Linked DNA regions of Alligator mississippiensis. The protein of the gene in region 3 binds, or shares a complex with, the protein of the main gene of each other region. Links are inferred from orthologs where the notes say so. Each region holds a gene or a part of one and is shown on either strand. Other genes may lie near its edges. The genes, in order: PIP5K1C, APBB1IP and TLN1.

The links.
Region 1: the proteins of TLN1 (region 3) and PIP5K1C are in contact, whole or in part, in a crystal structure (PDB 1Y19), measured with the Mus musculus proteins. The link is inferred for Alligator mississippiensis from reciprocal best matches to the Homo sapiens genes TLN1 and PIP5K1C. Residues at the interface, in NP_035732.2 of Mus musculus: Pro209, Val210, Gln211, Leu212, Leu214; in NP_032870.2 of Mus musculus: Pro646, Leu647, His648, Tyr649, Ser650, Ala651.
Region 2: the proteins of TLN1 (region 3) and APBB1IP are in contact, whole or in part, in a crystal structure (PDB 4W8P), measured with the Mus musculus proteins. The link is inferred for Alligator mississippiensis from reciprocal best matches to the Homo sapiens genes TLN1 and APBB1IP. Residues at the interface, in NP_035732.2 of Mus musculus: Leu1492, Ala1495, Thr1496, Val1498, Ala1499, Thr1502, Ser1503, Cys1506, Asn1507, Arg1510, Val1526, Ala1529, Lys1530, Ala1533, Asn1534, Thr1536, Ala1537, Val1540, Ile1543, Lys1544, Asp1547; in NP_062329.2 of Mus musculus: Asn5, Ile8, Asp9, Met11, Phe12, Thr14, Leu15, Glu18, Met19, Leu21, Leu22, Ser25.

What each region holds. Positions count from the first base shown.
Region 1 is NC_081839.1:9,176,259-9,184,024, forward strand, and holds the start of PIP5K1C (phosphatidylinositol 4-phosphate 5-kinase type-1 gamma), read right to left. Parts: upstream 3,009-7,766; 5' UTR 2,829-3,008; coding exon 2,738-2,828; intron 1-2,737. UniProt on the Homo sapiens protein: Catalyzes the phosphorylation of phosphatidylinositol 4-phosphate (PtdIns(4)P/PI4P) to form phosphatidylinositol 4,5-bisphosphate (PtdIns(4,5)P2/PIP2), a lipid second messenger that regulates several cellular processes such as signal transduction, vesicle trafficking, actin cytoskeleton dynamics, cell adhesion, and cell motility.
Region 2 is NC_081828.1:189,074,529-189,082,373, forward strand, and holds the start of APBB1IP (amyloid beta A4 precursor protein-binding family B member 1-interacting protein), read left to right. Parts: upstream 1-4,820; 5' UTR 4,821-4,945; intron 4,946-5,528; exon of another isoform or gene 5,529-5,630; intron 5,631-7,845. UniProt on the Homo sapiens protein: Appears to function in the signal transduction from Ras activation to actin cytoskeletal remodeling. Suppresses insulin-induced promoter activities through AP1 and SRE. Mediates Rap1-induced adhesion.
Region 3 is NC_081826.1:303,314,122-303,321,224, forward strand, and holds the start of TLN1 (talin-1), read left to right. Parts: upstream 1-4,040; 5' UTR 4,041-4,128; intron 4,129-4,604; exon of another isoform or gene 4,605-4,672; intron 4,673-7,103. Other genes in the region: CREB3 (cyclic AMP-responsive element-binding protein 3), read right to left, coding at 240-625, 772-853, 1,004-1,088, 1,293-1,361, 1,853-1,959, 2,459-2,536, 2,705-2,814, 2,960-3,206 and 1 more. UniProt on the Homo sapiens protein: High molecular weight cytoskeletal protein concentrated at regions of cell-matrix and cell-cell contacts. Involved in connections of major cytoskeletal structures to the plasma membrane.

The DNA.
Region 1 (7,766 bases), on a different chromosome or scaffold from region 3:
CAGGCATGAGAGCAGTTGTGGATGGAAACAAGGGCTTTGCCCACCATGTCGTGATTAAGGCATTGGTACTACGTACACTAGCTGCAATGGATGGAAAACTTCATTAGCAAAGAATTAGCCAGAGACAAGAAGGAAAAACATGTGATGTGGAAAGCATTCAGCCCGTCTGCCCTCAGCTATATTATTTTGGAAGACTATTCCCATACATAGAAATGCCAGTTCTCAGAACATGCCTGTTACAGCAAGCAGCCTGGACCACACAGAATTTCAATATGGCTTTTTTATGGATGTTTGGGTCCTTTCAGATTTGAGTACTGTATTCCTTTTATTTTAATCATTAAAAAAAAGAAAAAATGGGTCTCATACTGCATGCCTCCAGGCACTTCGGGTTTTGAAATACTTTGGGGTTTGAAACCACACATAGCACACTTAGGACACTACACAAGTAAAGAATAACTACCCATGCCCCAAATTAAAGCATCTATACAAGAGTACTTTTCACGCAGCATCTGTCTGATGCTGCACAAACAAGCCAAGCTACTCTATGGGGCTTGGGGTTTTTTTTAATGCCCAGACATCATGCTTCTCTGTTGAAGAAGGAAAAAATTATCCACTCATTGTTTCAAGTCCACAGCTGAGCAATATCTTCCAGCTTCATTTGTTCAAAGTATCAAAATAAAACACTTCAGCCTCCAGTACTTTCAAGAAACCAAAAAAGGGAAAAAAGAAATTGGAAGAAGCAAGTGACAATTTTATTACTCTTTGACGATCAGTTTTTTCTCTTCTCAGCACCAAGAGCCATAAAGCTGCTGCCTTTTGCAGCGTTTTGCTAAACCAATCTCTCACAGTCCTTCAGAAAAAGAAACCTATGGACTCCCCCATTTACTTTTCTAGAGCTCACTTACAACAAGTCCCTCCATTTTGCCTAGCAGAACTCAAGTGAAAACAAAACCCAGGGTCTGGTTTCTATTTCTCAAGAAAACAAATACAAATACATAAAATTACTGCCAATCCCATTAAATGGCATCTCTAAGATAATCAAGCAGTGTTCTGTCCATTTTTTAAGTTTACTTTAAAACCCCAAAGAAAAAGAGAGTATTTTTATAAGATAACAAGACTCAGCTGGTTTTCTGAAACGTTATGACTAAATGCAGTGCGTGGAGTCATAGTTGCTCAGCACCTCGCACTTAGGCCCACAACGGAACTTGTCACCTTAACAGCACAGAATGGCTGCATCATGGTCACCTATGAAAGTATCTAGACAGTGTAAGGTGAAGTTGTAATGAATTACTTGGACACTAGGAAGAAATGTAGGTGGATTTGCAAGCAACATGTTTCTGATCCTGTCTGTCTATCTGAGGCTCCCAAATTCATTTAATATGGCCAGAAAAGGACAGACCTCCTAATATAAGCTCGTTTCCAGCCTAATAATCACTTCATATAACCTTCAGAAGCAAAGCCTTCTGATTTTGACTGGGTAAGATGACAGAAATATTACTTTCCTGCAACTGGAAAAATTCTCACAGCTTATAAGGGCCAGATGGAGGAGAACACAGGAAGAGCACAAGTAACTAGTGAAAGCATTAAAGACCGATGAGGGAAAACCAAACCCCCCACCCACCCCTCCTCCTCCACCGATTGCTTATAGCAAACAAGGTGAAACCTAACCCTGTGGACCATTACAGAGCTCAAGCTTTTCATCAAGGAAACAGACAGGGTGTAAGGAACAGCTTCAATTAAAAAATGCAGTTTCAGGAGAAAGATGACATTGGGGTTTGACTGCAGGACTGAAGCTAAGGAGCTCCCAGACTAACCGTAGAGAGGTGGCTAGCTGTGTTTGCCTGAAGCCAGGCCAGGGTGGCACCTTAGGACTGTTTCAGAGGCTCCGGCTTTCGTCAGTGATGGCCACTTCATCAGATACATGACCTTGGCCAGATCATGCAAGTGTCCCAGGCTCCCCATCTATTGCATGGGGATCACCATTTCCCTCCATTACAAGGAGGCTGTGAAGTCAAGAGTGCCTGCGTGGCTGCTAGGACATTGCAAGGATGAAACCAGGGAAAAGCCAGTGGCGAGCTAATCGACAGGCATGCCTGCCTGTGTCACCAGACGGGCCGCTGACTGGCGGGATCTGGCTGGGAAAGAAAGGTGGCTTTTGCCCTGCAGCCCTTCACGTTTCTAATAACCCCAGGCTGGCTTCATCAGGGGGCTCCTGCCGCACGACAGCCGGGCACAAAACCATCTCCTGGGTGGCTAGAGGACTAGCCCAAGGCTGTCCCCAGGATGCGGGCTGGCAACAGGTGATTTACCCAGTGCCCTGCACCAGCCACAGAGCTCCCACCGCTCGCCGGACATGCTGCTGCCACTGCTGCGCCTGACCCCACGCCGGGACTCCAGCGCCCGGCTTTCCCTGCACAGGGTGCCTCATGCCCGTGGCATCGCCTGAGGCGTGACAAGCAGGATCAGGCCAGGCAGCTCCTGCCAGCTCCGTCACCCGAAGTCCAGCACCGGGGGGAGGGGGGGCAGGGGGTGCTGGCCAGATGCTACCATTCCGGGTGCTGGGGGAGGTAGGGGGTGCTGGCCGGACGCTACCATTCAGGGTGCTGGCCGGACACTACCATTCAGGGTGCTGGGGAGGGGGGGGGCAGGGCGCTACCATTCGGGGTTCTCCAGGAGCAGGCGGCGGCGGGCGCTGCCTTTCAGCAGGTCGCCTCCGGCTGCCTCGGAGCCCCTTTACCTCCTGCCGCGTCCGGTCCAGCCTCGGGAGTGATGGCTCCGGCGCCGGTAGCGGCGGCGCTCTCCGCCTCGTCCGGCACCTCCAGCTCCATAGCCGCGCGGGGAGAGAGGGAGGCTGGGCAGACCCAGACCTCGACCCCGGCCCGGCCACCGCGCCCCCTCCCGCGGCCGCCGCCGACACCAGCACGAGCCGCCGCTGAGGAGACTGGGAGCCGTGACGGGCCGCGGGTACCATAGAGAGCGGGCACCGCGGATAGACACGCCCCCGGGAGCCCAGAGGCGGGAGGAGACCATAGAGAGCAGGGAGGCAGAGGTAGAGCGGTGCTGCACGGGCCGCAGGCCAGCTTGGGCCATTCGCGGCGGGGAGGGGATCATAGAGGCGGTCGGTGGCCAGAGCGGCGCGTTGAGCGGAAGTCCGCCGCAGCTGGGCGCTGGGGGTCACTCGGGGGTAGAGGCGGCTCGCCGTGCACACACGTGCTCTCTCGCTGCGGGGGCAAATTGGGCCCTGCATCTCCTCCTGCTCCTGCACAGCCCCAGGTGGCCGGGCTGCCTGTGCCGGCCTGCTCTGCTGGCATCATGACGGACCTCTAGGGCCGAGGAAATCCCGGGGGCGGCAGGATGAGGCCGACGGGCCCACCCCCTGGGTAGCCATTCCGCCGACTGGCAGCCCTTGAGAAATAAAAACACCCTAACCCGTCAGCTGTACCCGTGTTTTTCCTCTGGAAGATGCCCTTCAAGTAACTCATTCCCGCATCTCCATTTTGGCTCTGGCCGGCCCAGGGTTGTAAGATACTGTTTTAACGATGCTGTGATTCACGCAGCAAAACTCCTGCTTTAACACATAGCGAACTGGTCGAGGTCCAAATCTGGTCTTCCTTCTTAGACTAGACCCGTTTATCGCACATTAAAACGCACATCGACCTGTCCACACCAGCTCCTCGGGATACGTTCGGTCTCGTTTACGCAGCAGTCGGCATACAGTCCGACAGGACGTGGATTCGCAGCACGGCTCCCCGTCGCTAGCTCGACTCTTGGAGCACATTTGCAAGGGATAGTGCAGCGTCATGCCGAGGCAGCCAAGCTGATGAGCCAGTTTAGGCGCTGGCAATAAATTTTGCTGCATTGGCAGGGCGCTCTGCCCGTTTCTGTTGAGAAGCAGGGCATTTTAGCCCAGTGCATTAGCGCAGCCAGATGGCCTCTCTTCCCCAAACTGGCCGGTTCAGAGCTGGCTCATCGGGATACAGTTGGGGCTTGGCACAGGTTCAGTTTGTGCCGTTCCCAGTGTGTGGAGTTGTGTGCTGTGAGCAGAGCTGGGATGTGAGGAGCAGGCTCTGGTTCACGTTCCCAAGTCTGAAGGTATCCTGCTGGCACTCCACCACCCGAGGGGACTGAGCAGGTATCCCAGCACGCAGGGGTTCCCCTGCCTCGGTTGAGATCAGAGCACAGGGTAGGAAAGCAAGCGCTGATTACTTGTCTGGTTGACACTGCCTCTAGCTGAGGGGAACTGAGGCACAGGGGCCAGAGGGCTCATGGGAAGAACTGAGGAACTGAGGTTTAGGAGACAGACACTGGTGTTCAGGCCCCCCCTGCTCTTTTCCTTGTACCCTGTTAGAATCCGAGCCCCTGATGCAACATGGGAAGGGCTCCTGGAGTAGTTCACTGCTCATTGGAACAGTTAATGGTTAATTCTTGCTTCCAAATCACTGAATGGAAAATCAATCCACTTCTACCCCTTCCTGCCCCACCCTTTCCTGCCAGCAAACTGTACTGCCCACACCTCCCTGAGCACTGTCCACACCACACGTGGTTTCTTTGGGAGATTTCTAAGATTGCCTTTTTCCAAGCATTTTGAAACCTTTTTTTGCCATGAATCGCTGCTGGGAATGGAGTGCGACAGCGGCAGTGGCCCGGAGCAAGAGCAGGGGAGCTCTGAGCATACAACACAGCTTGTCCCTTGTGTGCGGCACCGCTGGCATTACCCCCATGACCCTCATTTGGGTCTCAACCCAAGGTTGGGAACCACTGCAGTAGAGTCTGGGTCAAGGGAAAGACGGGCCTTGGAGCATAAGGAGAAACAGAGGGCACTCTGGGATGCTGGAGTAGGGTGATATCTCTGTGGAGCAAGTACACCGTTTGATGTCACTCGAGATAAACCTCAACCTAAAGGGCACAACTTTTACGTTTTCCTCACACTTCCAATGTCACAAATGGCTTAAAAGTGTATCTGCTTGTACTATGGGATGTCACAAATGCACTTGGAATGACACAAATTGAATGTGTTCCAAGACTGTAGTATGTTACTGCAGGCTGTTGCCCATCTTCCCTTTCTCTCACCAGAGCACTGCTTCCTGATGGAGCTCTGCTTCCTTTTCTTTCTCACACCCAGACACAAACCCTAGAAGTCCCACATTGCCACTATCATTTATTAAATAATAATAATCATAATTTATTATGTGTATTGCAGTATCACTTAGGGCCCCTAGTCATAGACCAGGATCTGACTGTGGACAGTCTTCAACCAAATACAACATCTAAGCCTCATGTTGGTGAACAAGGCCTTGCTATTAACAGTGCAAAATGCTGTATCCCCTTCTCCCATGGAAGCAAATACACCTGTTGTGCAATGTATTCAGTCCTGGTTGACTGAGAAAACAAGAATCTGTTCCCTACACCAATGTGAGGTCTCTGGTATTACAGTATTTATTATTTTCTACCCAGGAGACTTTTAATTCACCAGGAACTTGCAATAGGCTGAGTTGCATTTGTCTGGGTGTGACCTTGGTGACCGGCTGTTTTCACAGTAAAACAGCCAGGGTGTGTTTGTGAGTGTCTGTGCATGCGTAAACTAGAAAAAAGGATGTTGGTAGATACATAATCTCATGCTGGTTTTCTTGTTTGTGTGGCTTTGAATTTTGTATTAAATTTGTTTGCTTTAGTGAGTATTTTAAGTTTGAATTCAGCTAGTTTTTCAAAACCTTTAAAGAGAGAGAAGATGTGAAGAGTTTCTCTCAGTGAGTGCCTATCTCATGCAGACCTGCTCCATGTAAGTTTTCCTGGCAGAAGTTTGCACATGTCTACACACAACATGCCTTCAAGGTAGAAAAAAATCCTTTAGCTTTGCCTAGAAACCCTCTGCCACCCAAGAGCAATCTGCTAACCTCAGCAATCCTTCAGAAGCAATCCCATACTTCCTCTCTGGAGTCTGGTTTAGACTCCACTGACTACAGCTCAAACTGACTGTCCCCCACCCCCCGTTAAAATCAGTCCATCATTCTGAAAACACCCATTCTCTATCACCAGAACATGGGAGAGTCAGCAAGTTGACGAGCCAAGATAGGCTGTCATGCAATGCCTAAGCATTTTACTGGAGTAGAAGGAAGCTTGTGGGATCAGGGAGCTGTTCAATTCCAGCTCCATGAAGGAACCACCATGTGTTTGAGGAGATGGCTGGGGGAACATATTGAACAGCAGGCAGTGTAAGGCAAATGAAAGCTGTTTGCAGGCCTGTCACAGGGTGGTCCTCCACAACGAACATTTAGGAGTGTTCTTCAAGACATGGCCTCTTTTTATGGAGCTGGAGGCAATTCAAGGCAAGGCTCTATTCACAAGCAATGGGGGGAAATATTATTTTAGGGGGGGGGGACTGAGCCCCTGCCTGAACCCTGCCCCTCCCTCCCACAGGGCTGTTGCAGGGCCAGCATGCGCTGGGGCTGTATGCAGCAGCGAAGGAGTGGCTGCATGCCAAGCAGCACTGGGCGCTGTGGGACGATAATGATGCTGCTGTTGTCAGCCACAACAAAAAGTTTTGGGGGCTAATGGTTAGCCCCAGTCTTTCACCGCCTATGCCCCTACCACAGTCCATGTCTTGACAGTGGACATTTTGAAGGAGAGCCTAGTGAACCACAGGGAGGAAACATGACTGTGCTCTGCACTAAGGAACAGATCAGCCTTTCTCCGGAGGAGAAATGGGATGAGCCACATGCTGTTTGAGACCCAGGAGAGTCACAGCCAGGGCTGGTCCATGCAGCTGGACAGCAGTGAGGTTCAAGAAACAAGCTCTGGCAAACGCTACCACTTCTTGTTTTCCCCTGTGCCTGCCTGTTCCTTGGCAGACTCTACCCCTTCTGTTTGAATTTTGCTTTAAGAGCTGCTTTATTGACCACTCCTTGCCCGGGCACATAAAGGAGAGAAGAAAAGATTTGTTTCCTGGACCGTGAAAAGTGCCCTTCCCCACTCAGATGGAGATGGTGATTGTTTTCTGTCCTGCAGAGCACAGTGTGCTGCAACATGAGCACGGTGGGGCCATGTGTGCACAGGCACGTTGCTGAGTCAGGGAGTCAGTCAGGAGCGGTGTCTTGATGGGGAAGCTGCTTGTAAATACTGGGTGGCCATGAGCTTCTAAAGCAATGGAGTACCATGCGCAGAGGCAGACAGGAGAGGATGCAGTCTTGCCAGGGAGTTTTAGTGAGGTCATGGTGCAGTAGCAAAGTGCTAGCTTGAGACTCACATTGAGAAACTTCAGCTATGCAGCTGATAGGGGCTGTGCCACCTGCCTGAATAGACAGCAACATCCCTTGCTCCCTGGGGGCACCACCAGCAAGTGCCATAGCAGATATTCCCACAGCCACTCCTCCACTCCTTCAGGTTCCTGGGGACTCCTTCAGGTTCTGGGCTGCCTTAAGGGAGGACAGCCCAGTGGAGTATTGCTGCAAACAGGCAGGCAGTGAAGTGGCTCATGTGCTCCCCAGTCTCCAGCAGCATCTCCTTCCTCTGAGCCTTGGTGACCCGCAGCAAGGAGACATTGCCCAGATCAGCTGCCTGCAAATAATTTAACATTTTGCTTAGCGCCGTGGGCAGCCTTGGATTTCCCTGCTTTATTCTCCATCTCTGCAGAGGCCCAGCAAGCTCACCAGGGCACTAGTGGAACAGGCATTTGGCAGTAAGCAAGCCCTGCAGGCTGAGCAGCATCTGTGCTGCTGCCTCTAGCAAGGTTAGGAGAGGAAACATTTAGAGTTTTCACTGCTTTCCTT
Region 2 (7,845 bases), on a different chromosome or scaffold from region 3:
CTTGTTTATTCCCCAAGGTCCTGGCATTTGTGTACATCAGGCTTGTCCAACATACAGCCCGCAGGCCACCATGTGATTTTATCTGGCTTGCGGCAGCAGCACCACCACCACCATGGAGCGCAAAGCCGCCGCGGTGGCAACAGTGCCACAGAGCGTGGAGCCGGCGGCGGTGTGGAGCCAGCGGCGAAGGCAAAGCAGGCAGGGAGCGCAGAGGGAGTGTAGCGTGGCGAGGCGGGCAGGGAGTGCTGCGGGGCGTGGAGCTGCGGCGGAGGGGTGGGCAGAGCGCGTGGAGGGAGTGCGGCGAGGCGGGCAGGGAGTGCTGCGGGGCACGGAGCCACGGCGGCAGGGAGGGCAGAGAGCGTGGAGGGAGCGCGGCGAGGCGGGCAGGGAGTGCTGTGGGGCACGGAGCCGCAGCGGTGGTGGGGCCGTGGCGAGGCGGGCAGGGCCAGCCCACGGGCCCCAGCCGGCAGCGAGGGGAGGGGAGCTGCTTACCCCTGTGGGGCCCGGGGGAGCGGTCCCAAGCGGGAGGCCAAGCAGCGGCTGCTGGCAGTGCCCCCCCCCCTTCAAGCCAGCCCCGCTGCCCCTGCCCTGCCCCACAGCAAGGCAGCGCCTGCTCCCCCGGCCAGCCTCCCCCCGGGCACTGCAGCTCTCTGGGCCCGGCTGCCCGTGCGCGAGGCCCCAAGGGGGCTGCTTCTCAGGTGCTGCTGGGGACAGGAGGAGCATGGCCAGGTCTGCACCGGCCAGCAGAAGCAGCAGTGGAGCCGTGTGCCACTCGGGACGAGACAAGCCTGCACCGGTCAGTCCCGAGTAGCACATGGCTCCACCGCCACTTCTGCTGAGTGGTGCAGACCTGGCCGGCCTCCTCCTGTCCCCAGCAGCACATGGGAAGCCGGCTTCAGCCGCATGCTGCTTTTCCTGGCCAGTGCCAACCCGGTTCTGCCCAGGCGGGTCCTGCAACACCATGTCAACCCGGTCATGGCACCGGCAGGCTGGGCGGGCCCCAGGTTAACCCTAGCCTGGCCCCACGGATTTTCCAGCACCAGGTCAACCTGGTTGTAGCCAAGCAGCTCCTGCAGCACCATGTCAACCCGAGCATGCATGCCATGTCAACCAGCACTATGTCAACCCCTACAACTTAATTGGTGTCAAAGGTCACGTGACATCATTTCCTGATATGATACCACTTCCTGTGACATCTTTGAATATGGCTCGCCAGCCCACTGGGTGATAAAAAGTTCGTGATCCGGTCCCACATTCAAAAAGCTTGAACACCCCTGGTGTACAGGCATGCAAGTGTCCCCTTGGGGGTCCTTGCCTTGCCTACAGATTGTTCCAGGGCTGGGGTGGGGGTGGGCTCTCTTAAGTGCCTTGGCCTGCTGGCTTTGCAAGGGTTGCTCAGCAGGCCAGCAGTGGCGGTATTCCCCACCCTGTCCCCCGACAGGCTTAGTTTAAAGCCCGGTGGAGCAAGTCAGCCAGTCTGGCTGAGAAGAGCCTGTTCCCCAGCTGAGAGAGCTGGAGGCTGTCCCTTCCCAACAGCTGGCTGCCTCTCTCACCAAAGAGTGGACTGTGGTCATGGAAGCCAAAGCCTTCCCGATGACACGTGCCAGTCTTTGGTTCACTACCTCAATCCTCCTTTCCCTCCTCAGCCCATACCCCAAAACCAGGAGGATCAAGGAAAACACCACCTGCGCCCCCAACCCCTTAAGCCCCGCTCCCAAATCCCTGTAGCGCTTCATGACCCAGCTGGGAATGCTACGAGCACCATGGACCCCTGGACCCCTCCCACCACAGACCCCACTTACCTCCGGCTGTGCTGGGGGTCGGCGAGGTGCTCCACGGCTGCTGGAGGTCACTGGGGGGCTTCAGGGAGCCAGGGCGCAGCAGACTTGCACCCACACATCTCTCGCCGCTCCCAGAGCCTGACCGGAGCTCTTGTTGTGAGCCTTTGATATTGCTACCAATCCACCTTCCAAAAGTTTCATCTTGGAGCTGGTATGGATGTTTTATCTTGGAGCTGGCCTTAAAAATCTTATTGTCAGTACTAATGAGTGAAGGTCTGTATCTGGAATATAATAGTATCTGGAGGGAACATATTCATATTTCATCAGCCCGAGACCACCAAAATCCTAAAGGAAAATCTGCACTAAATGAAGCCTATTTTAGCTAGGATGTACGAAATTCTGCTATTAAATTGTTGCGGCATGGATGTATGTATGACAAGGTGATCTGCTTTACATATACTTCCTATCCCCAAACCTCATTCTACCATCTACCTAAAGGCCGCTTTTTTTTTTTTAAGAACAATGTACAAATAGCATTTGTGTTTTATGACATTTCTGTGATTCAAAAGTAAATTAATGAGTTACAAAAGGTTATTTTCATTTTCTTACCCCTAGGGAGTAGAAGAATACATAGGTCGGATTATAACAGTAAATGTAGTCACTATGTATATTCAGCATTTCCACTGATTTCAATAAATTTTAGACTGGGTAGAGGCTAAACTATTCAATGCAATGAGAATTTTGTTTGTGTCAGTCTTGTAAAAAGCCTGTAAGATCAATCCCTAAATATCACATCATTATGAAGGCAAGAAGAGACTAAAATACAAAATGATGGGAGTATATTCATGGTAAAATTCATTGTAGAATTTTTTTTTTTTCACTCAGTGAAAAAAATGTGTTACTTGATAAATATCAGGTCTTCCTTCTGGAGTGTTGTTTTGCTGATGATAAAAGTGTTTCTTTCTATTTGTTTCCTCTCAGAAACAGATGTTCTGGCTTGGATTGCAATCGTTTGCTGTTTTAGTGAAATGTACATTACAATAAAATTCAACTAGTGTGGACTGTCGCGTTTTGATAAGGCTCCCAGAGCTGAATGTATATAATGACAGCATTCACTGCTCTAATATTATCCATCCATTGATCTACAAGGCAATGATAAGAAAAGAAAATGAACAATTTGTAACTGCATAAATTAAATTCTGAACCACACAAATGCCATAAAACACAATAGTTTTTTCCTTGAATAAGTGGCTTTTGAGAAGAAACAAAAGAATAGGGGGCTAGAGTTCAGGCAGAGAATGAATCCTATAAACATTCATTTTAAATGAGAAAGGAAAAAAACAATTAAGAAACATTACACATGCCCACCTGCTCATGCCACAAACTTTTTCTCTTATACATGTTAGGACACACATCATTAATCATCTCTGTATCTTCCTGCCACTTCTCTAATTACATTTTTTTCTTTTTCAGTATTCTGTAATCTCCACCCATCCCACTGAAGCAAAATGTTTCCAGAATGGACTACCACCAAAAAATAAGTCTCATTATTTGAGATCATTTGCAATTTGTATAAAATCACATTTTTTAACTCCTTCTGGGGATGATGTATGCCATGTGTCCACAAAAAGAGAATGACACCTACTCTGCTATCCTCTGCTATAAATAAAGCAAGACAAGAAAAAGCTCACCATTAATGTCATCAGCTATTTCTTTAGTTGTATTTCAGGCTAACTGAATAGAGCAAATATAAATTATATATATGTAACACCAGTAGAGGCACATTGACACTAACAAAAGGCTGTTCTTTACTTGTAAAACTAATCTCCATAATTCAGCAACTGTAGATATACTGCATACTAAATCACTGGTATAAATTGGAGTTAGGTGTTTTCACTAGTGCATTGCTTATGGAGGGGATGTGTGAAATTTTCCACCAGAAAGGTCCTAAAGAAAGATGCCATGCTGGTTAAATTTTTTCCATGAGAAATTGATTATTTGAATCACACTTTCAAAATGTCAGTGGGAAATTTAAAACAAATCTGAATTGACATTTTGAAATGATTTCTGTCTCCAATTCCAGGAACTGAAAGAATCAAATGCAGAGATAGACCTGCTCATAGCCTACTGGAACATGTTCAGTACAGCTGGACGCATAGGAGACTGTAATTGCCAGATTCAAAAATCTCTGATGAGTAGCCTAGAGTGAAATTTTTCAGAGATTAATGATTTGGTCGAATGTGGGTGGATTTTTATGGGGATGACGAAAAGCACAGCCCTCTTCCCTGCCAAAACGCAAGGCCTTGTTCTAAAGCAGTGGTTCTCATCCTGTGGTCCACAAACCCCTGGGGGTCTGAAGACTATGTCTAAGGGGTCCACAAAAGATGGCTATTATCAATCAAAAGTACGTGAAAACCCACACTTAGAATTTAAAAGGGTCTGCACCTCCATTTGAAATTGTTTAGGGGTCCCAAAATGAAAAAAGCTGAAAACCACTGTTCTAAAGTACTCAGTGACAAATATTCCCCAACCACTTTCCTGAAAATAGTTAAAATGTTTTACCTGAGACTTTGCAAAACAATCCAGCCCCTGTCAAACACACGGCATAAAAAACTCCAGCCCAAACACTTTAAGTTTGGCAAAATTCTAAGCAACTAAAAAGAGGGTCTCCTAATAGCAACGGCAACGCCTGTAACTACACGAACAGCGTATGGTAGTCAGAATCAAAGTAAAACTGCAAACCACAGACATTATAGTTACTGGCAGGGGCCTCAAGTTAATTTTCAGTCTAGTAATTAAAATAACCTATGAATGTATCCGGCACACTTCATTTTGTTCTGTTTTAGAAAAGTTAGATGACAGCCTGAACAAAGCCTTACTAGATTGTCTAAGTTAGTTCCCCTTTTTTGACACAGTGAGCAAACCTAAGGATGAGTTGCCTTTCCTTTGTTCTCGGCAGCACTTCTTTTCCTGGAGTTTCATCATTGTTAGGGGCTGCAAGGAAGGGTACAGATCATCAGGCGCAGGCCCCTGCACTTGGGCTGGGATCAGATGACCCCAGCACCATGGGCGTGGAGACGCTTTTTGGAGATTGCCAGAGTGGATGACTGGACCTCCTCTGAGTTTAACACGCTGCAAAATCCTATCTGCTCAGCGAAGACCAGGTACAGAGATTCGGCCTCTTCTGGGAAAGCTGCTGCCTTCCCAAGAGTGTAAACTGTTCAGGAGTTTTCTCCCAAAGTAAAAATGGCGGCTCCGGGAGGAAAAGTAACCTGGCAACAACCAGGATGAAATCCCTGCAGGGAGAGTGGCCCTGTAGGCGCTGTCCTGTGGCACGGGAGTAATTGGAGCAGGGCACATTGTGGTCGGGGGAGAAAACTTGTGTACGAGTCAAACACCTCAGCCGGCCTGGCCGGGACAGTGACACCGTGAAGGGGCCGCTGAGTGGGCGGGCAGAGGGGTCAAGAGCAGCCAGGGCTTCCTTCACCGTACCTCCCTCCCTAGCAGGGGCGGCCACCCCCGGCCCCAGCCCCGGCCCGCCGCCGGAGGGAAATGCCCGGGCCGGTCTCAGGCTGGGCGCCCCTGCGCCGCGCAGGAAGGCCCCGGGGCGCAGCGCGGGGAGGACGGGGCCGGTCCCGGCCGCAGGGGACCGGAAGGACGACGCCCGTCGGGGCTCCCCCGGGGCGAGGCGAGGCGAGGCAAGGCGAGGCGGGGCGGGGCCGCCGCGGGGGTGTGACCGGGGTGCCCGCGTAGCCCGGCCTCCCTTCCTCCTCCCTGCCTGCGTCCCTGCCGGCGCGGGGAGCGCTGTCCGACGGGCCGCCGACGTGAGGCCCCCGCGGCCGCAGCGAGGTGAGCCGGGCCGGGGGGCGCGAGGCTTGGCGGCTCCGCGGGACATCCCCTGCCCGCGGGGCCGCGCCGGGGCCTCCCGCGGCGCCGTGCCCTGCCTTGGAGGGCCAGCACGGCCCCGGCCCCGGGGGGCTGGGCTGGGCTGGGGGCGGCGGCGGCGGCGGGCCCGCGGGGTCCTGCTGAAACGTGCCGGGAGGGGACCGGGAGGGCGCCGGGTGCTGAAGGCAGCGAGGCCGAGACGGGCCGAGCTGTCGGGGAGGATGAACGCCCTGGCCCGGCTGCCCTGCAGGTGGCACCAACGGGGGAAAAACAAGGCACAGCCTACCGGCCTCTGTAGAGGTGCTGCCTGGGGGACCGAGGTGTCTTCATCCTGCTTTCAAACCGCAGGGCGCCCTGTTAGCCCTCTGCCAGCTCCGCGGGGGATGAGGTCCACAGCCAGCGCTTCCTTCAGTGACAAGGACACTTGGCAGAAGCAAAATAATGATGCTCTAAAAACAAAAAGGGGGGTGAGGGGGCAGTTTCCTTTCACCTCATGCACCTAGTTCATCTTCAACCAACGTAACCTTACCTAAAGCAAGGACTTGGAAGGATTGAAATTATATTTATACTTCATAAGATAAATATATGTGGTCCTGCTATTATATACATTAATACATTTATATATATAAGTGAATAATAATATATCCATTAATTAGTTAATATACATAAATCAATCCCAGCCTTGGCTAGGAAGATCTAGTTGGGGATGGTCCTGCTTTAGGCAGGGGGTTGGACTTGATGACCACCTGAGGTCCCTTCCATGCTAATTTTTTATGATTCTACTATGATCTAGTTTCATTTGATTTACCATATTTGATGTTATGGGAGCTACGTTTGTAATTGACTGCTCTTCTCTACTCAGCATGTGTCATTCGGATTCAGATTAATTTCCATTAAGGTTGACTAAGCAGGCCTGAAGCTTACAGGTCCATCCCTACCGCCTCCTCCCCACATAGGCAGGCCAAATTCTGTGTCTTGTGTTCATGAAACAGCAGTCGTTCCTGCCCAGAGCAGGGGGGTTGGACACGATGACCTCAAGAGGCCCCTTCCAGCCCTAAACGTCTGTGTGAATCTGTGAAAACGTGTGTTAGCCTCAGCCAGGCTTTCATTTTAACTTCACAGTGAACAGAACTAGTCAATAAATGTTTGCATTATTTTAAGAAATAAGGCTAAATCTTGACATTTGCCCTGAGAGCTCATGGAGAATGAGTAAAGTTCCCTAACTTTAAAAAGAGGGACTGAAGGAATCACAGGCCAGTCAGCCTAATGTTGATGACTAAGAATATTCTAGTACAAATTATTAAGCAATGAATTTATAAATGGCTAGAGGATAATACGGTATTACAACAGCCAAGGTGGCTTTGTCAAGAATATATCAGACCAAACTGAACTAATTCTTTGGTAGAGCAATTGGCTGCATGGATAGGGGGGAAGCAGTAAATGTAAAGTTTATTTTGCCTTTGAATATAGCCTTTGATACAGTTCCATATGACATTCTCATATCAAAAATAAGGAAAAAATGTCAAGAAGAACAGAGTCATCAGAGATCATTGAAAAGGACAAGTCAAATGGGTCTCTCAGGAATTGGTCCCAAGTCTAGTTTTCCTCAATATTTGCATTAATGTCTTGGCTGATGCAGATGATACCAAATTTGGAGGGGGTTGCAAGAACTTTGGAGAACTGGTTCATAACTCAGAATGATATTGATAAATTGGATAAATGCTCCAAAATCTTGCTGATTTTTAACCAGTAAAGACAGATGCCAGTAAAGACAAGTGCAAAGTACTGTTCTTTGAAAGGAGAAATCAAGTTCACACATACAAAGTGGGGAATAACTAGCTAGACAACAGTACTGTAGAAAAGGAGTTGAAAAGTATAACGGAAAAAGTTAACGAAATACTGTTGTGAAAAAGGCAATCTTAGATGTATTAACAGAAGCACCATCTGTAGCACAACGGAGGTGATTGCAACAAAGCAACAAAAATGTAGAAAGATGACCTATGAAGAAAAGTTAAAGAAATTGGATTTCTTTAATCTAGAGCAGGGTGGACCAATTTACGGCCTGTGGGCTCTGCAGCCACCTCTCCCTCTGCTGCGCAGTGGGGGAAAGAGCCGGGAGGGGAAGGAACTGCACGCCACTCACGCCACGCACACAGTGGGCAGTGGAGGGGGAAAGGCA
Region 3 (7,103 bases):
CAAAGGGCCAGGGGAACCTGCTGCCGGTGCCCGTTCCCCCCCAGGCAGCTGCAGCTCAGCACATTGTGGGGGTCTCCCTGACCCCGGGGGCCACGGACCTCCCCGCTCAGCTCTGCCCCACTGCCCAAAGAGGCCCTGGCCCCCACAGTCCAAGTCTGGCCGACACTGCTGGAGAAGGTGCAGCGGGGCACCCAGCGCTGCAGTGAAGAAGGCTGCGCTGGGCGGGCCTGACTGGGCGCTCACATCTCGTCCGCGTGGTGCTGCTGGATGATGACGCTGGTGCTGCGCTCCACCCACTCCTGCTTCTTGGCCTCCCAGGATACCGGAACTGTGGAGGGCAGGGAGCTCCGCCCTGAGGGCTCCTGTGGGGGATGTCCGGCCTGCTGGGAGCCCTGCACGGAGGCGCTGGGCGCAGGTGGATCAGAGGACGAGTTGCTACTGATGGCAGAGTGGGACTCTGCCTTGGACAGACTGTGGCTGCCCTCTTGCGAGCGGTTGAGGCTGTCCTGCAGACCTGGCTCTGGCTCCGGGGCCAGCCCCTTGGGCATGCTCTCCTCCTGCCCATCGGGTGCCACTGCCCACGCGTCCCCCATGCTCGGGAACTCGCGGATCTGCCGGGACAGCACTGCAAGAGAGGAGCGCATGACTCTCATGCCTGGTGGGGCAGACGAGCCCAAGGAGGAGCCAAGTGCCTTGCCCAGCTCTGAGAGGAAGCACAGACTGCCAGGCCGGATCCCACCTCTTCCACCCGCCCTGCAGTCGACCACTCACCTCCACGCAGCTCCTGCTGCCGCCCCCCTGCTCCGAAGAAGAGGCTGGGCGTGAGGATGAGGCAGAAGGACAGGAACATGACCTGCAGAGAAAGTGAGCCGTCAGCTTTGGCCCAAGGCTGGGGACCGAACGCTGCTGGGAGCCCTGCGCCCCTGCAGGAGAGAGTGTGTGGGCTGGCAGAGGCTCCCGCGGCACAGGGGACAGGCCCTGGCCTGGCTGTTGGGCCACTCACCGCGATACAGGTACTGGCTGTGGTAGTCTTGGTTGAGGACTGTCGCACCAGGGCCTGGAGCTTCCGCAGCTGCTCCAGCAACGACCTGCAGCAGAGCAGGAAACGGGGTGAGCACAGCCGCAGCCCCGGGCCAGGCCAGCCTCCTCCCATCCCCCCTGGTCCCGTAGTTCCAGCGTGCCTGGCAAACAGGCTCGGACTGTTCTGCACCAGTCGCTGGTGCTGCCCTGCAGGGGCTCAGGACCACAGAGGGCCCCGCTGCCCTTGCCAGGTGCTCACGTTGGGGACTCACATGTTCTGCTTCTGCAGCAGCTGCACCTTCTTCTGCAGCTCGTGGTTCTGCACCGTGCAGGCTACCACCCTTCCGGCAGGCAGGGGACACAAGACAGCACATCAGCCAGACCAGACTTGGGGGCTCAGCTCAGCGCCTGGGGGCTGACGGCGCAGGGCAGGAGGGCCCGGCTCCTTGCACATGACTCGGCCCTCCTAGCACTGGGCTCCCAAGGTCTTACGGGGGCAGGGCCCTTGTGCTAGGCACCTGGGAGGAGCCCCCAGCTGACGAGGCAGGGCAGGGCTCCATGGGACGTGAGCAGAAGAGGCGGAGGCTCCCAGAGGAAGAGGGCCTGGCTCTCCACAGCAGGGGCTGGGCCCTCAGCCACAGGAGCAAGAGCTCCAGCTGCCCCGCAGGGGCAGCATGGCAGCTGGGCGAGGCTGTGGGGCTAACAGGACCTCCTATGGAACTGCTCCCCGTGCCCCAGGTCATGGATACAGCCCCTACTACAGGCGCTGTGGCAGGGGGACATGCCCACATCACTGATGCGTGGCTCCCTCCGCCCACGCCGGGCTTGGTACCTGCTCTCCAGCCCATCCACATAGATCTTTTTGCGCCGGCGGCTGTCCTGGGCCGACTGCTTGTTCCGGATCTTGCGACGCACCCTCTTCAGCAGCCGCTCCTCAGCCTGCAACAGTCACTGCTGTCACTGGCCGTGCCCCCGGCACCAAGGCAGGCAGCGAGGCTGGACCCTGGGCCGTGCAGCCACTAGCCCGCGGCCAGCAGGTACCTTGCACAGGCAGGGAGGCGGACAGGGCAGAGCCGCTAGCCCTGGCCCCCGGGACAAGGCTGGCTGCACACAGGCCTGGCAGTTTAACGGGCCGGGCAGCTTCCATCCTTCCGCTGCCCGCTCCCTGCATGAGCGCAGCGAGGCCCCTCGTGACAAGGTGACGCCTTGGCTGCCAGGAGGGCGAGGGGCAGTGGCTGCAGGTCCAGCACAGCAGCCGGCTGGGGGCAGCCACAGGAGTGGGGCCAGCAGCAGTGGGGGCCTGGCCCCCTGCCCCTTCCAGCCACCGAGGCTGAGCCACGTGCCACGGCCCCGGGGACTGGGGCTGCTGCTCAGCACTTGTGCCCACACCTGAACCCCTGCCTGGGGAGGGGTGCGGTGCCAGCGGGCAAGGGCTCACCTTGGTGAGGGGCAGGTGGGACGGCAGTGTGACGCCATCTTTCTCCAGCAGCTGCCTCTCCTCCTCCGTCAGGTCCAGCTGGAGACGAGCAAACCCCAGGGTAAGGAAGGAAGCGCCAGGCGGGGCGGGCGCCGGGAACCAGGACTGTCCCCGCGCAGGAGCCTCCGCTAGTCCGCGGTACCCGACAGGCCTCCCCGCGGGCACCTGCCGGCCCGTCTGCAGGACTCCTGGGAGCAGGGGCTGTACCTGCGTGGGGGTCCCAGGCACGACGTCCTCCACGGCCACGGCCACGGGGAAGCTCAAGCTCTGCTCGCTGCCCGAGGTCTCCTCCGCGCTCTCCAGCCCGGCCCACGCGTCTGGGAGAGGAGGGAAGGGGTCAGACGACCCCCGCCCCACGGAGCCGCAGCCTCCCCCACCAGCTCCTGGGCCCGGGGGCTCGGGGCAGCCCCGGCCGCAGCCTCCTGCCCCTCGCGGCTCGGCGCGGGGCCGGCCCGTGCGCACCCAGGTCGATGAAGACGTCGCCGTCGGCGGGTCCCGCGGGCGCATGCTGCAGCCACAGCCCGTCCCGCAGCAGGGAGTAGTTGTGCTCGAACTGGACGCTGTCGGGGCCGGGGGGGCTGCCGGGGGACGCGGCCCGGCTGTCGGGGCTGTGCGGGGGCTGCTGCGCGGGGGCCGAGCAGCCCGGGCCCTCCGCGAAGGGGCTCAGCAGGGCGCTGAGGAAAGCGTCCACGTCCTCGTCTCCCGGGAGCTGCAGACCCCAGCGTCAGCGTGGCGGGCGGGCGGGGTAGGGGTAGGGGTAGGGGTAGGGGTAGGGGCCGCCCCGCCCCGCCCCGGGGCCCAGCCTCACCTCGGGCTCCAGCAGGCCCCAGGCGCCGGGGTCGGCCGGCAGCTCCGCGCCCTCCGCCAGCAGAAAGTCCAGCAGGTCCCGGTCCGCGTCCGCGACCCCGACCCCGTCCCCGACCCCGACCCCGTCCGCCAGCGCCAGCGGCGCCCGCTCCGCCGCCGCCGCCACCGACACCGACATCTGCGCGCGCACCCGTCAGCGGGGCCGGCCACGTCCGGGGGGGGAGGGGGGGCGGGGCCGGCCCGAGGGGGAGGGGGGGACCTGGCCCGGGCGGGGGGGGCCCAAGGGGGAGGGAGAGGGGCCCAGCCACGGAAGGAGGGGGGCCCGAGCGGGGCGGGCCCGGGGGGGGGGGTCCCGGGCGGGGCGGGGCGGGGCGGGACCTGGCGCTGCCGCCTGCCCGCGGCCCGGACGCCGGGGATCCTGTCTGGGGGGGGCACCTGGGTCCCCGCCCGGGGGGTGCACGCGCCTGGGCTCCCGGCCCCGCCCGCCCGCCCGCCGGTACCTCCGCCGACCCCGGCTCCGCAGCTGCCGCCGCCTCCTTCCAACACACCAGGAATGACGTCAGCGCCCGCGGCTCCCAGCACCCACCGCGCGGCCCCACGAGGGGCCGGAGCCGCCTCGAGCCTCCATTGGCCGCGGCGCTGCCCGCACCCAAGATGGCGCCCGATTGGCCTCACCCCGCCCGGCGCCCTCACTGCGCCGGCACCATCGAGCGCAGGGCCCAGAGTGGCCGTGGGGCGGGAAGCTGAGAGTGCCGCTCTGTACCTGCCCTGTGCTGCTCCCAGCCCCGCGTCCGCCCCGCAGCGCCGCGCAGCCCGCGGGCCAGGTACGGGGGGGGGAGGGGGCAGATGTGCGTGCCCGCGGAGCGGGGGGGCAGATGTGTGTGCTTAGATGCGTGTCCCCAGATGTGGGCGGCCAGAGCGCGCGCCGCAGGGGTCTCCTGCTTAGGCGGGCGCCCGGGGTGGGCGTGCGGAGGGGTGCCCCTAAGAGGTGTGCGCGGCAGGGCGCCCCGCGATGTGCGGGGCGGGGGGCGCTGGGCGTGCGGGCCCCCAGGCCCGGGCCGCCCCGCGCTGCGCAGCCCTCCCTGGGGTCCCCGTGCGCGGCGCCCGGCTGTGCCGGTGCCCTGCCCGGCCCTGCCCGGCCCCTTGCCGTGCCGCCGTGTCAGCCGGGCCGGGCCGGGGCGGGGTGGGGCCCGCTGCCTCTTGGCAGGAAGCGCAGCTCGCGGCCGCCTGCGGCTCCTGCTCGCTCCGCGCCCGCCCGCCCGCCGCTTCCTTCCTCCGCCCCGCGCGCAGGCCCTGGTGGCGCCCGCCCGCCCGCCCGCCCGCCCGCCGGCTCCGGCTCCGGGCCCGGGGCACGGTTTTGTGCGACAGGTTTGTGTGCGGGGCGGGGCGGGGCGGTGGCAGCAGATGCAGGCCGGCCCGGGCGGGAGGACACGGCGGAGCCCAGGCCTGGTGCGGTGCGGTGCGGGTGGGGGGAGGCGGCGCGCGCGGGAGCCCCGGGCCGGGCCCCAGGGCGGGTGCGGGAGGGGCCGCACTTGGTGCTGGATCCCGCAGCTGCCGTTGGGGGGCGGCGGGGGGGCAGGAAGCCGTGCCAACGCCCGTCCCGGGTGTGAGGCATCCTGACTCGCGGCTGAGCCATGGTTTGGCGGCGCCGCGGGGGGCCTGCTGCCCCCTCCCCCGCGGGGCGCGTGTAAGGAGCGTGGCGCACGTGGGCCGGGGCCGGGGGTGTTGCGGTGCTCGGCTGGGCCGCCCTGGCGTTGTTGGCACCTGGGGCTTTGCCCCCTGCTCTGCCCCCTTCCCTGAGACGAGACGGCCTGTCTGGGCCGTGGCTGGGGGCGGGGGTCCCTGCCGTGGAGCCCAGCTGGCTGTGGCCCGGGGGGCCGAGCCGTGCAGTGTCTGGCTTAGCGGGTGATGAATGGACGTGGCCGCGGGGCCTGGCAGCGCGGAGCTGGGCGCTTTCCATTTTTAGTCAGTTGTGTCCTGCAGCTCTTGCTGCAGGGTTCCTGGCTCCCGCCCGCTCCCTGTGCCAGCCCCAGGTCCGCAGCGCTGTGCTGTGTAAGGCTTCCCGGTCCCATGCAGCTGCTGGGCTGTGAAACCACCAGCGTTTCCTGGTCCCTGCCCCAGGGAAGGGATCTCCTCGCTGCGGGAGGTCTGCTGCTTGCCCTCCTGGCATCCTCCCGGCTCTGTGGCCCTGACCTGATGAGACCTGATGACTCTTCGCCTTCACGCCTTCCCCTGAGCTCTGTTGCCTCGTGGGGCTGGGGGTCCTGGCAGTACCTGTCCTGGGGGTGCCTCTCCCCTGCCCCAGTTGCGGGTTCACCCCATGCCCACATTTCCTGAGAGCTGGAGTGTTTCTTTGAAGGCAGCTGCCGGGCTGTCCCCAGCACGTGCTGGGGCCCGGGGACTTCTGAAGGGGATAGGTCGCAGGGGCTGCCTGTCTGTGGGCAGAGGGGGAAGCTGCCTGGGAGGGAGGTGGGCCTGTGCTCCAGGCTGAAGGACAGGCAGATGCGTTGGTCTGTGGGCAGCGGCTTCGGGCCCCGACATGCCCTGCAGAGCGTGGCGGGGCCTTTATCTCGAAGCCCTTCCTGTGACAGCGAGGCGCCAGGTGAGGCGATTGATAGCTTCTCTCAGATGAAGGGCTGGGGGTGCATTTCCACGTGAGGGGTCTGGACAGGTATGTGAGCCTGTTTCTGACTGCTCCTGCCTGGAGAACGGCTGGCCGGACTCAAGGCAGCAGGTTTGCTCACGGTTGCTCCTCTGTATGGGGGCACGGTCAGGTGGGCCAGCCGCCGTCGCCTTGACTAGAGCCACGTCCCGGCTGCGCCCCTCTAGGCACAAGACCCTCTCTTGTATGTTGGCACGGCTGCCCCGCTCCGCTGCGGCTGGGCTTTCGGAGGGGCGCCATCCGCCAGTCCCTTGGCATGCTGTTTGGCTCTTGTTGGCGCTGGCGCCTGTGCAGACATGAGCTGTATCTCCATGGGCAGGAGAGCACGTGGGACTGCTTTGAGCTCTGCGGGGCAGCGCGGGGGCAACGGTGCTGTGCCACCAGAGCTTTGCCTTGCAGGGCTACAGGGCAACTGAGGCAACTGCTGTGGAGCCATCAGCAGTCCTGTCAGCTGAGGCAAGTGCTGCCCCTGCATGAGTGCTGAGCCCGCCTGTGCCCCCCAGCGGGGGTGAGGTTGCGCTCCCCTTCGCCACGTGTCAGGTAGAGTAGCGCCTGAAGTGTCATGCTGCGCATCGTGATGTCTGCCTCGGGCTTGCTGTCCTGCTGCTTGTGCAGGGCAGGAGGCAATGCCATCGCACCAGCTTGGCAGCGTCGGATGCCTCCTGCCCCTCGTGCCCAGCTTTCAGGCCCTCCAGCAGAGGCTGGGGTTGCTTTCGCTTGCCCACGCTTCGTGATGGGGCCTTGGTGGTCCTGGCCTGGAGTTAATTTTAATCTTCTCCTCTACAACGGGGCTTGGCACAAAGTGACCTGGTGCCTCCAAGTGAAGGCTGTGAGGACTGTGTGGCTGAAGAAAATTGTGCAAGGCAAGGGCCTGGAAGCAGGGAGCATTGGCCCTCATGGGCAGGGGCTTTCCCGCTGGCCTGGGGAGGGCAGCTTGGCTCAGGTACATGGGGCAAATCCCATGGGGAGGAGACGGTGTCACCAGTGATCCTGTCCCAGGTGGGGAGACTCCGTTCTGTTAGTGACGGTGGCGCCTGGTAGGGTCCAGACTGGCTGCCTCAGGCACACATGCTGGTCTCCAGCTGGGGAGTGGTGCCGCTGCGGACCGCATTTGACCAGAGCAGGAGGGGCTGCTGT